Linked DNA regions of Astyanax mexicanus. The protein of the gene in region 1 purifies or fractionates together with the protein of each later gene. This does not show direct contact. Links are inferred from orthologs where the notes say so. Each region holds a gene or a part of one and is shown on either strand. Other genes may lie near its edges.

The links. Proteins that work in one complex are often made in the same cells at the same time.
Region 2: the proteins of tsr1 (region 1) and riok2 fractionate together in Homo sapiens (co-fractionation; 3 studies listed by BioGRID and IntAct, with this or other methods). This does not show direct contact. The link is inferred for Astyanax mexicanus from reciprocal best matches to the Homo sapiens genes TSR1 and RIOK2.

Annotation. Positions count from the first base shown.
Region 1 is NC_064425.1:15,236,973-15,244,382, reverse strand, and holds the start of tsr1 (pre-rRNA-processing protein TSR1 homolog), read left to right. Parts: upstream 1-4,402; 5' UTR 4,403-4,438; coding exon 4,439-4,559; intron 4,560-5,231; coding exon 5,232-5,335; intron 5,336-5,413; coding exon 5,414-5,642; intron 5,643-6,699; coding exon 6,700-6,834; intron 6,835-7,410. UniProt on the Homo sapiens protein: Required during maturation of the 40S ribosomal subunit in the nucleolus.
Region 2 is NC_064429.1:14,110,285-14,117,125, reverse strand, and holds the start of riok2 (serine/threonine-protein kinase RIO2), read right to left. Parts: upstream 3,016-6,841; 5' UTR 2,889-3,015; coding exon 2,823-2,888; intron 2,654-2,822; coding exon 2,515-2,653; intron 1,759-2,514; coding exon 1,642-1,758; intron 1-1,641. Other genes in the region: atxn2 (ataxin-2), read right to left, coding at 5,865-5,893. UniProt on the Homo sapiens protein: Serine/threonine-protein kinase involved in the final steps of cytoplasmic maturation of the 40S ribosomal subunit. Involved in export of the 40S pre-ribosome particles (pre-40S) from the nucleus to the cytoplasm.

The sequences.
Region 1 (7,410 bases):
AATGGTTTCATTGGCTTAAGAGTTTACTGTGGCCAGCTGCTTTTTTAACATCACCTCCTTGTTTCTACACTAAGAGTTCATTTTATCAGCTCCACCTACCATATATAAAACATTTTAGTTCTACAAATACAGGCTTTGGTCCTGCTTTTATGCTTCCCTGTGTACTTTATATCCTCCTTTTACCCTGTTTTTCAATATTCAGGGCCCCACTGAACCACCACAGGCAGAATGCTGTGGGTAGCATTCTGTGGGCAGCATCCTGTAATCACTGACAAGGATGAGCAGCTAGACAGGGGTGTCCAACAGAGTGGGCAGTTAGGGGGACACAGCGTTTAAAACCTCCAGCAGCACTGCTGTGCCTGACCCACTTGTAACAGCACACCTCCACCATATCAGTGTCAATGGAGTGTTGATAATGGCCCACCCACATAAATCCTGCTTTGTGGTGGTCCTGAAGCATTAGGTGAGAGAAACAGAAAGAATACAGTCTATAACTGTACCAGTACAAGTAAGTAGTTGAAGTAGTTTGCATATCTTTACAGATGTATTATATATACTTTATATTTTACTTTACTTTTACTCCAAGACATTATGCAAACATTACTTTTGGCCAATGTGTGCATAAGAACATAGTCATGATCTTGATACAAGCAATTTTGCAGACATTAAATTTTTTATTTTATTTTTGCCACTGAAAATCGAGGTTAGATCCAAATTAGCAAATATAGGCTTACCAACATGATGCAGACTACGAAATGACGAAACAAGTTCAGTGGTTGCCTCATTTTTTTACACACAAAAGTACACAGATAACGGTTTACTGTAGAAAACGACTCTAAGAAAAACAGTGTTGTTATAAAACTGTATACATGGATAATTCGATAATTCACTTACATTAAATTAATTAAACCTAAATGTGACCAAAATAGTGTTTCAAGTTAGGTTACCAAAAAGCAGATGCCAAGCTAAGTTAATGCAAGCTAGCTAACGATAACTTAATTTGAGTAATATAAAAGTGGCAAAGCACACTGTTACTAAAGAAACTTCGTTTTCCCAAGTATGACCATTGCAAGGCAAGTTAATGACACTTTTAAAAAATAGTTTATTGCCTTCCAAAGTAGCTAGCTAGCTAATTAGCTATGTGTATATTGCCATCTGATGTGAAAAGGCAGTTATATTTGGCTTACAAAATCATGTTTTTAAATAAATATATAATAAATATCCTATAATAAGCTAGTAGAGTGTGAATGTCTGTGGTGGGAAAGCCTTAATTACTTTTCCACTGGAGCAAGGTTATTTAATGTCTCAGGCTTAATTACCTTTTTAGCTATATTAATTATTCAAATCAGACAGCCAAAGAGCAGAGTTTGTTCATTAATCGGTTCACGAGTTGATTTAGAAATCGATTTATGAGTCGTTTCGATATGTGTGCAAATCGAATTCAGCGATTTAAATCACTGATGTGAATGTTTTGTTATATCTGTGGTTTATTTGATGTCCTGAACATGTGATGAACATTAATTGCTTGTTTATTTTCAGGTTTAGTTGATTTGTTTAATGATTGGTTTTATTTTAAAGGTAGTCTATTTCTACCTTTTAAATTAAATAGTTTAAAAAATGATGCAGTTTATGTAAATGCCACGGGAATATTGGGATTTGGTAAAGCGAATTTAGAAACAAATTTAGAAAAGAATTTACTGCTGAAGCTTTTTTGAGAGAGGAGTGGAGGGATCTATAATATCTCTGTTAACTTTAACAGATTTGACGAGAGGTATAACTACTTAATTACTGTAATCTTAATGTAAATTTTATGAGCCTGTTACATAGTTTGTACAAAAAAAAAATAGGTGTTTATTTTGATGTGAGCAGACGTAAAACATATTAACAAACATACTCAAAGTATGAATACAGTAATGAAATACTTTTAAAAGTCTGTTTTTAAGGCCTGAGTCTGAGTAGTATCCTGAATAAGCTATGTGGTTGTTTGGTTTATGGGATGTATCATGTCGTACTGTTGTAAAATGACTGTTTTTGCTATTGTAATATGAGACATTAGAGACTCTACTGCTGTATGTATTGCTACTCATTCATCCAATAATTTGATCAAGTGGCAGCAGTGCACATAATCATGCAGATACAAGTCAGCTGCTTTAGGAAATCTATGGTAGGTATGGTTGAAGTCTTTTTTCTTGGTCAGACTAGACTATTTGATCCAGAGGCTTTAGACTACTTAATTTTGGAGGTTAAATGTCAACTTTGCATTACAAACTGAATTGTATATATTGTATAAAGTTCACTTGTTCATTTGAAGCTGTAGATATATACATTATATACACTCATTGATTTGAAGGGCCCCTATATGTGAATTGTATGCCCTGCATACTCAACACACCCCCTCTGCACTTTTGAAAGGACTTGTTAATCAGTTGATTAGTTGATTCAGGTGTGTTGGGAACAGGGTAAGCACTAAAATGGGCAGGGCAAAGAGCTTCTAGGGTTGAGAAATCCTGCCCCAAGCGGCTATTCCACTTGAAAAAGAAACAGTCCTGCTGAAAGAGAATAGAAGATAGATATTTTTTTATAGATATTGTTGTCTTTTTACCTTTCAAAAAATATGACAGGTCCTTAATTCATTGCAATGTTCTCTGTGTAATTTCAGCACAATAACTGAACAGTAGAGGGCGCACACGCACTTTAGTTTGTTTAGTGTTTCATTTACAGAGCTGTACTTCCTTACATCTAAAAGTTCACAATAAATTTTGAACTTTGTAAATTAAATCTCCAAATTAAATATTCGAATTTCATTCCCATAAACATATTAGAAAATAACAAAACAACTAACTTAAATATATTACCAGGCTGCATAAAACCTGAAATGGGAAAAACCAAATTTCTTGAAATTAAATAGTAAGACTTATAAAAAAAATAATTTATTCTTACTAGTAAAAATTAAGTGAGGTATTTCCTAAAAAATATAATTTAAAAGATCATTTCACTTTTTCTCTTTTTTTTACTCTGTAGTTATTATCTGTATATATAAGTTTTTAATTGAATCTATAACAATAATAGAATTCAACTATTGTGAAAACAGAAATAAGAGAATCAGCAGTCAGACACTAATAAAATACAAAAACGAAAAGAAGATAAGGCAGGCATAGCCAATAACAAAAAATATTTTAAAAAATTAAAAACAATAAAAAAAATGCAAAAAATTTAAGAGAATATCTCCCTAATCCATACAATAAGAGCTAAGACTACAATAAAAACTGTAACAAAATTTAGATATTTATAATTGGATTTTGTACTTTTCAATTTTTTTATGTGATCCCTAAATTAAAAGGAGCGGAATAATCATGACTCACTGAATTTATTTTACGTCTTATTTTTTATTTATTAAAAATTTAAACATGTACATACATAGCACTGTATAGCGTTTCATCGTAATTGACACCTATAGGATATAGTAATATAATTTTCCTGGGAGAAATACATGATTTAGAAATATGCACTATTCACAATATTCACAGCTTTTTTTTTGAGAGAGAATAATATTTTTATGTCTTTTTTTAGTGTCTTAAAATTTTAAAATGAAAACATTTTTTCAGCTGTAAACCGAAGACTTGATAACACATATTACATTTGCACAAATTTTTAATAGAAAGAATTAGTTAAATAAGAGTAAAATAAGGTAAATATTTCCTTAAAAAGAGGATTTAAAAGATTTTTTTTTTATTTTTAAAAGACTTTTTTTTTTAAATCTGTAGTTATTATCTGTACATTTATTTTTTATTTAAGCTATTACAATAGTAGATAATTGAGTTAAATAGAGTTAAAACATTTTGAAAACAGAAGTAATAGAATCAGCAGACAGACACACATTTTTGAAAGCATAATAGATTTTTATGCAATGTCTTAAAATGATAGGATAAAACACCTTTTATAATAGAAATATCAGTTAAAGAGTAAAATAAGAGTAAAATAAGGAAAGGTATATTTAAATGTATATATTTAAATAAATATTTAAATTTATATTTAAATAAATATTTCCTTTAAAAGAGGATTTAAAAGATTAAAGATGTTTAAGATGTTAAAAGCTTTTTTCTTTTTAAAATCTGTAGTTATTATCTTCTGTATATATATATATATATATATATATATATATATATTTTTTTTTTTTTTTTAAGTAATTACAATGACAGAACATTTTAAAAACAAAAATAAGAGAATCAGCAGCCAGATTTTATGTTATATTTAGCTTCTTTTTAGAATATATTAAACGTCTTAAATTGATCGGATAAACAACGTTTACTTCAGATGTGAATTAAAGACTCGTCCAGTCCGCGATTCGGTTCTCTCTAAAGAATCGGTTCATTAAACCTCCTCGCCGCGCGCAGGAATATGACGTCATTTAAAGTTTACATGTGCGGCGTGACCGAAAATGGCTGCTGGCGGAGAACAGCAGCAGCAAGCTCACCGACCCGGGCTTTACAAACAGAAAAACAAGCAGCACAAGCATGGCAAACACCGGACTAAAGGAGAGATCGAGCGGGAGAACAAGGGTGAGCTCGGGGCTTCAGTTCAGAGGGTTATTCTGGGGTTTAGACACTCCGGCGGAGCAGCATGGCTAACCTGCGACTAACACGTGTCTGGAGTTCAGGCATTTCTTACAGACCAGAGTAGAGAACATGGCTAACTTAGCTGGTTACAGCAGACACAGTTCATGGGATATGGTAGTGTCCATAACTATATTTTATCATATCTGCATTGTAGCAGTTTGAGCTTACAAACAGTCAGATAGCTTACCAGGTTAGCTATCTTGCTGTTTAACTACAAGGGCTGTTGTGTGGCAGCTCTGCTGTTGAATCCCAGAGACAGCTGGCCTGTTTTCTGGCCTGTAATTGAGTAAATGCAGTATCTGAACAGATGATTTTAAGTAGGGACTCAGGGAACAGTTTTCCCAGACAGGCATTAAGCCTGGCCCTAAAGAACCCATGGTGACATAAGATTTAAAGATATAAAGATTTTTTATTAAAATTAAAATGTAGTCTGTAACTAGGCTTAATCCCTGTCCCGGGAACTTACCGTGTAAGATTAATCTCTTAACACTGGCCTCAAATGATCCACTGTCCTACAACTCAGTAAGGACTTGTTAATAAGCAGATTACTTTGATCAGGTATGAAGAAATACTGTTTTATTTAAGCTGATTTTCAAAAATGATTTCATCCATCAGGCAGAGTTGCTGTCATGGCTCTGTCGAAAAAGCAGAGAAGAGAGTTAAAGAAGTTGGACCGTAGACATAAAGCCAACCAGCTGAGGCGCAACAAGAAGGACATGGTAAGAAAGTAATGAGATTCATCCTTTAAACTTCAAGTAAAAGTGTTTGTTATTAATGCTGTTTTTGTATTTTACAAGGTGCTGAACGAGAAGCGTCGTTTGGGCAGTAGAGATGGCCCACCTCACCTGGTGGCTGTCGTTTCCCTGCATGCTGCTGTGGACGCTGGAGCTGTGACGCAGATACTGAGAGGAGAGGGGATTGGAGGGGTGCTGCATGAAGACCAAGGAGTCAAAGGGGCTAAGGACAGTTTTGGCCTGGTCCTTCCTCGTTTCAAACAGAGATTTACTTTCTACCGCTCAGATACAGGTAACCCGTGGTTGTATAACTGCAAAAGAATGTTTGACTTGTTAAAAGAATAACCATATTTTACGCCTAAACTTGATCACACGTGTTGCACGATCCGAGTTTTAATGTTATATGTCTTTTATTTTTAAGTAGTTATGTGACAACAAAAGCAAAGGTTCAGACATGCCAAATGTCCATTTACCCAAAGAATGCTGCGCTGAGATGCAAGATACTCATTTGAGGCCTCCTGCAGTGAATATGGGAGTGATTGATTGTTCAGACAGTGAGCTCTAACCAGATGTCACCCGTCACCTGTACCATAAGTACCACTATTTGCTATTTATAGGTATATGTTTGAGTAAAATGAACATTGTTGTTTTGATCTGTAAACTACGGACAACATTTCTCCCAAATAAAAATATTGTCATTTAGAGCTTTTATTTGCAGAAAATGAGAAATGGCTTAAATAACAAAAAATAGGCAGAGCTTTCAGACCTCAGATAATACAAAGAAAACAAGTTCATATGCATAAAGTTTTAAGAGTTCAGAAATCAATATTTGAAGGAATAACCCTGGTTTTTAATCTCAATTTTATGCATGTTGGCATGTTCTCCTCCACCAGTCTTACACACTGCTTTTGAATAACTTTTGTGTCACTCCTGGTGCAAAAATTCAAGCAGTTCAGTTTGGTTTGATGGTTGTGATCACCCATCTTCCTCTTGATTATATTCCAGAGTTTTTTTATTTTATTTAGTGAAATCAAAGAAACATCATTTTTAAGTGCTCTCATATTTTTCAGAGCTGGTCATACAGAGCTGGTCATACATGACTATTGGGATTTTGGTGTATGTTAAATGGAAAAACACTGCCACACCCTTACTGTTACCATATCAGAGCAGAGTCTAGTATCAGTATTTATGGTTGAAAAGGCAAAACTACTGTACTCTGCTCAATTTTATTATCATTTGTATTATTATGTAATTATTGTAATCATTTAAAATGTGAAATGCAGTAATTCTGTATTAATTGCTTAATGGTTGCTAGCCTTTAATTTGTAATGATATTTCACTGTTTTTAGCTGATCTGCACTCTCTTCTGGATGTGGCGAAGGTGGCGGACAGTCTGGTCTTTGTGCTGGAGTCCACTGAGGGCTGGGACAGTTATGGAGATTACTGTCTGTCCTGTCTTTTTGCACAGGGATTACCAAGTCATGGTGAGTTAAAAGTCGGAGTCAGAGACTGTTTTTCAGCATTTTTCCTGCCTTATTTATTTTTAACATTACATAAATAACAGAGTTTGTTTTTTGGCAAGTCTGCATGTGCTTAGTGCTGTCTTCATTATTCAGCATTGGTTGATGAGGGAGGGGACGTTTTAAACATCAGTGTGCTCAGTTTGCCAAATCGGATCTGAGCAAAGAGTCCAAAGTGATTTAATGCACCTTGTAATGTGACCTTAGTCCTGGTACCTCTTTCTCTTTGAGCTGTATTTAGGTGTGGGATGTATGACGTCAAACACTACATGGCACTTCTTTGTCTTGCACCAGACTGCCTGCCAAAAATGCCATTGGTTTTTTGAAACAGGAAGATTCCCAGATCTTTGGATTGTTCTCTTTAGCTGTTTCTCAGAACAGGAAAAAAAAAAAAAAACTTTCTGTGATTCAACTTTCAGCAGTTGCACTTCAAATTGTTAGAGCAGCTTACTAGTAGAGGCTTTTAAGTGTTGATTTTTAAAACTCCTTAACTTATTTTTCATTCTAATTTTTAATTTTGCATTCTGTTACAGATGTTTG
Region 2 (6,841 bases), on another chromosome or scaffold:
CAGTTTACAGTTAAACTTTTTTACACTGGGCTTCCAATATACAAATATTTTAATGTCCATAATAAATAAAACAAGTAAAGTACAAGCACTCTGGACTCAGAGAAAACTGCACTAAATATTAAACAACAAATAGTGACAACATTTACCAAGTGGCCATATGATATGGTTCAGCAGCCCAAAGCTCTTGCTATAAATGTATTTTTTAAAGTAACTGTCAGACAAATTCAGAGCAAGAAACACCAGAATGTTCACCCTGTGGGGCTTGAGGCAGGATCTCTCTGGGGTACAATATTCATATTCAGTATTCAGCTCGGAAAATTGGGCTGTATGGTTGTGCTTTAAATGAGATCTCAGCTTCGTTTCCACTGTTTTGAAACAAGTCAACATACCGACTGATTCGCGTCGATGGTTCTCCTCGCTCATTTGGCTTAAAGCCAAAATACTCCCGCACCATCCGGACTTCTAAAAAACCTTCTTAACGCTCTCTAAAGTGGTTTAGTTAAGAGAAAGTCCTCGAATACGTTCGCAAGCACAAGTTTTCTCTGCTGTGTGTGTGTGTGTGTGTTTGTGTGTGCGTGCGCACGTGTGTGCAGACGCCATCACTGATGAGCTCCGCTTGCCGCTACACTCATTTCCTAACCGATAGATGTCGCTGTCGGCGAGAGAGACGCACATCACGACTCGTTCTCATGTAAACTCAAGGGCCCAATGGCTGTTATCGACGTCGGCAAAAATTATTGCGGTTAAAAAAATTTACGTACGATAAGTCGATAACATAGTTATCGCTTTGTCAATCTAATGCTGATATTATCTAAAATACGCTTAGAGAAAATATTTTAAAGTAACGTTGTTCTTTTTGTTCTTAATAAAGCGGCAAAATAAAAATGCTCATTTAACAGCATGTCGGCTGTTAAAGCTAATGTCCGTAAAATTTGGAATTTGGGGGATTTAGGGCCCTCTCTGGTAAAAATGAGTAATTGCACAGAGCATGCAGAAGAATTATTGTAAACTGGGCGGGTGTGATGGGATCTTCTTTCAGAGAGGATGACATAGGTTATGTAGCTTCCAGGTTATGTTCAGTCAGAGAGAGAGTCCTTTCAGGTCACGGAGCTTTATCAACCGTTCAAATGCAAATTCGCTATTAATCCCAGTTAGCACAGACTCTATCGTGTTCCTTTTTGGCTTCAGAACCTGCTTCACTCCTTCGTTTCTTTGTTTTTACTGAGTGAATGAACTACTGAACTCTGAGTTTCCCCTTCTGAAGTCTCCATTGCTCCACCAGCCGCTCGCATTCAGTAAAACTGAGCCGGATCCTCTTTTAGAGGCTGAACGTGTGACATAAGTGCATAAAGATGCATGACGTGGCCATTTAGAACTCCCTCTGAAAGTGACCCGATGCCCCAGTTTTTAGAATGAATATATTAGGCTTAGCAGGGAGGGTCTTTTGAGCACACTGGTACCATTAAACACAACATCTTATCCTTTCTCCACTCAGAAATGCTTCTGCTTTCAGTTTAGAAACAAAAAAATACAGACTGCACTTGCCATTTATATGCAAGAAGCTCTTGTATCTGAATGTGTCACTAAAAACTTGGAATATCTCATCAGTAGAAATGATCAGATATGAGGTTAGTTGCTCACCTGATTCTTTACCAACTCCCATTTGGTTCCCAACAGACAGAATGACATCTCTGGATGACAGTGTCTTCAGAGCCAGGTAATCATAGCCCCCATAATTTAATCTGTAGCCCTGCACAGCTATAAACACAAATAAAATTAATTTATTTAACTTAATTCACCAACCTGACAATCTTACAGATAAGTGTTCAGTTAAATAAATATACAGATAAATAAATAATCAGATAAATAAATATAGGGATAAAAATATAGAGAGATAAAATATATATATATATATATATATATATATATATATATATATACAGATAAAAAAATATACAGATTAACAAATATATAGATAAACAAATATACAGATAAATAAATATTCAGATAAATAAATAATCAAATAAATAAATATATAGGTAAATAAATAGTCAGATAAATAAATACGCGGATAAATAAATATACGGAAAAATAAGTTTACGGATAAAAATATATAGGGCTAAAAATATATAGGGCTAAAAGTATACACCAATAAATAAATAGTCAGATAAATAAATATATGGATACATTAAAATACAGATAAATATACGGATAAAAATACATATGGATAAAAATATATAGAGATAAAAATATATAGGAATAAATAAATATACATATACAGATAAAAATATACAGATAAACAAATATACAGATAAATAAATATTCAGATAAATAAATAATCAAATAAATAAAAATACGGATAAAAATACATACGAATAAATAAATAGTCAGATAAATAATTATAGGGATAAATAAATATACGGATAAAAATATATACAGATAAAAATAAACACAAATAAATAAATAAATATATATACAGATAAATAAATGAATATACAGATAAACTGTACTTACTTTTGGATCGTTCATAAGCTAAGAGCTTGTGTTTAACCAGCTCCCTCAGCACTTTATTACAGCCCCCGTGTCTCAGAGAGGCGATGGAGGAGATCAGGCTCATCGGTACGATCTCGTGGTTCTTCATCCCCATTTCCACCTGTATTACAGTACAATACATTCAGATCAACACACTGAGCTACACTGAGTTACAGCACAGTAATACTGTACTGTATTATTATTATTACAGATCTGAGCTCATCTGACTGAGGCTAGTTCACCAGTTCAGTTTAAACACTACAGTCTGTCTGTAATAAAGTTAAACTCACGGCGGTCAGAACCCTGAAATCCTCCCGGGACAGATATCTCAGCACCACCACATTCAGCTTCCCCATACTGACAAAAGATTAGGAACAGCGGATCTCAGAATTATTAGTGATAATAATAACTCTCCGCTAGGCCTCCGCTCTCCCAAACACGCCGTCAACAGCAGGAACACACACGAGTCCCGCAGCCCGGCCGCTCAGCGGCTTAGCTCACAGTCGCCCTCTAGTGGACTGGCGTACCCTGAGTACTCTCACTACTCTCACTCATCTCTCAACTCTACATAAATTGGTTCTACATAAATTGGTTCTACATAAATTGGTTCTTAAATGTGTTGTGATCTTCATCTAAGTCACAACAATAGACAAACACAGTCTGCGTAAACTATTACCACACACAACATATGTTTGCATTATTTTATTGAACACAACATGTTAACATTCACAGTGAGGGTGAAAAAAGTATGTGAATCTTTGGATTTAATAACTGGTTGACCCTCCTTTGGCAGCAAAAACTTCAACCAAACATTTCCTGTAGTTGCAGATCAGACCTGCAATAGCACAGGTAAATATCTCACCTGATTCTTTACCGACTCCCATTTGGTTCCCAACAGACAAAACCAAACGTTTCCTGTAGTTGCAGATCAGATCTGCACAACAGTCAGGAGGAATTTTGGATCATTCCTCTTCACTAAACTGTTTCAGTTCAGAAATATTCTTGGGATTTCTGGTGTTAATTTCTCTCTTGAGGTCACGATGCCACAGCAACTAAACTGGGTTAAGGTCAGTACTCTCCAGAAGGCGTATTTTTTTTCTGTTGAAGCCGTTCGGTTGTTGATTTACTTCTGTTTTGGGTCGTTGTCCTGTTGCATCATCCATCCTCATTTGAGCTTCAGTCAGTGGACAAGTTTTCCTGCAAAATGTCTTGGTAAACTTGGTAAAATGTATTGAGAATTATTATTTTTTTAGTTGATGACGGCAAGCCGTCCAGCAAAGCAGCCCCAAACCATGATGCCCCCGCCGCCATGTTTCACAGTTGGGTGAGGTTTTGATGATGGTGTGCTGTGCCTTTTTCACTCTACACACAGCGTTGTGTGTTACTTCCAAACAACTAAATTTTGGTTTCATCTGTCCACAGTATATTTAGCCAGTACTGCTGTGGAACATCACCTGTACTTTACTGTATTTTTAATTAATTGCAGTAAGGAAAATACTTCTGGGCAGTTTTCATACATTCATTCCTCATACACACTTATAGATTCATTTTATATATTTATTAATTTCATATTGTTGGAAAGCTTTTGCTCAACTTGAGTTTAAATGTCCTCGTGTGAAGTGTGAACTCAGACCTCCTGAACTGAAGGTTTGTGGAAATAGTTGTAGGAGGTCCTCTAGTGGTGGATTTAGAGGAGCACTGGGGGCCCAGTCCTCTCACTATTACTCAATACAGAGGTCAGACAGAGATGAGAGCTGAATGCTAGGACTGCACGATATATTGTTTAAGTGTAGTCATCGCGATGTGTGCACGTGCAATAGTCACATCGCAGGACGTGCAAAGTCACTTTAAATCAAACATGTCATGTTACAATATTTTGCTGCTTGACACAGAAGTAGATACACAGTGTTCTAAATTTCTATAAAGATTATCAATGCTTAATATCATGTTAATTCCCTAATGTGTTGTTGAAGCTTCCTTGGTTTAATGTGGTTTTAAAAGAACACAAAGATGTAGCATTCTGTAATCTTCGGTATTCCTTCTAGACACAAAACTCCTTCATTGACATATGAGTCCTTTCACATTAAAGTAGAAGAAGGAAAAAAAACAACTATTTTATTATCTGATGTCTCTGGTCTGCAGAGTCATGTCATCTGCTGGTGTTGGTCAAATATATTATAACTAAAGTCCAAAGTCAGCGCAGCTTCTACCAGAACATTTTACAGCACTTCATGCTTCCCTCTGCTGACAACTTTAATGGAGATGCAGATTTCATTGTCCAGCAGGCAAACTGGCACAAAATAATATTAAAATTTTCTGATATTTACTGATTATTGGGTTTTCATTGACTGTGAGCCAGAAATCATCAACATTAAAAGAAACAAACGCTTACAATAGATCAATCTGTGTGTAATACATCAATGTAGTGGTACATTTTTTTTTTTTTAGAAATTTCTATATAAAGTTGAATAATCAAAATAAAGTAACATGAACATACCATATTTCAGTGGCTTAAATCAGAACTGAAAAAGTCAGATCCAATTCTCTTCACACAGCAACACAAACAACATACCTGTGTCAGATATGACTTAAAAAAAATCAAATTTGGGCCATGCATCTCAATTTTGTGTCAAAACCACAGACGATGTTCAAAAATAATGACAAAACGCAAGACAGCTTCAGTTTTTAAAACTTTTTTTAATGTTTTTAAATTTTTTTATTCATTTATATTATCTACAAAGTAAAAGTCCTTAACTTAACAGTTTTATAACGGTCAAGTGTAATGGGGCTCATGTTTTGATTAGTTAAATAAATAATTAATCTGCCTTTTTTTTTTGCCAAATGTTTTTCATCACTGGAAGTTCCCGTTTTGTTTAGTTTGGTTAGAATATATATATATACTGTATATATATTTTTTCTTTGCTTTCCGTTACCCCAAGTTCTCGAACGCAGCAGTAGCAGCAGCATTTAACAGTAAAGTTAATACTGTCAATAGGTTGGAAGAATTTTTGTTAACTTAGAAGGTGCAGACAAAATGTAAGTTCCAGTTTCTTGACTTAGATTTTCACTCATACCGTTGCTGTTATGACATGAAAACAGTCCCTGTCTTGTTAAAACGCTTGTTAAAAAACCCACGTCTGTTCACTGCAACTTTGCTCATTAGCATTAATTATTGGTGGAGAATAGCAGAAGTGCAGCACAATTGAAGTTTTAGTGGCCTTCTCACTGGATATTTAGAAAAGGAGAAGGAAAAGGACTGGTTGGACAGTCGGTCATGGGTGGGGCCAGAAGGGTTGAGGAGCAGGCCTCCTTTTAAAGCCAGTCCTCCTCTTCTACAGCTGCTGCTGATGGTGAGGTTGTACTGAACAAAGAACAGAAACAAAAACAAGAGTTAAAGAGCTGTATACATGCATTTTCTGTGAACATACAAACCAATCTAGCCCTGTGTGAAAAAGCCATACTGGAGGATTTTCCAGCATAAACGTCCTGTTTAAGATCACCCACAGCGTCTCAATCATGAAGCTAAAAAAATCATCAGCTAAAAAGTGCTTTTATATTTATTCAGGTTATATTTGTCTGACATTAAAGTTTGTTTGATAATCTGAAAAATGAAAGTATGACAGAAGTGCAAAAACAAAAGAAATCTGTATGGGGGCAAATAGTTTTTCACACCACTGTAATATACTTTTTTTTCATCTCATAAGTCAATAACAAAAAGACATTTCTAAGACAAACTGTAAGGCAATTCAAATGACATAAATTCATTCTAAAAATAAATAAATAAATAAAAACATTTCCCCCACTTCAAGTAGCCTAAAAACAAAGGGCCACAAAAATACAGTGTTGCTTTTGGATAAAGTGCATCTAAAATGCTTAAAAAAAGTAAACAAGTACAGCTTAAAAAAGTGCAGTTTGATTTTTACTGGTGCTTTTTCTTTAAATCTGAGATTAAACTGTGTCAGGTCTATTCTCATACCCGTGTGAAGGAGCTGATTGGTCAGTTCAGGTTTGAGTGGGCATGTCTGCTCTAAAGATGTGTTTATTAGTTCAGTAGTGAAGCTTCCTGCTGCTGCTGTTTATTGGCACCATGGCCTCAGAACATGAAACATGCTGTTCTTAAACAGTCTGCTGAAAAGACGTTTCACTAAACTGTCTGGTTTTGTAGTCACTAATCACTCTTTCACAATTCCAGACCCATGATTCCTGACATTGTCATCTTGGAATATGGCCGTGTCAACAGGGAAGAAAAAATCCATTGATGGAATAACCTGGTCTATATTCAGTATATTCAGGGAGTCAAGTGAACTCA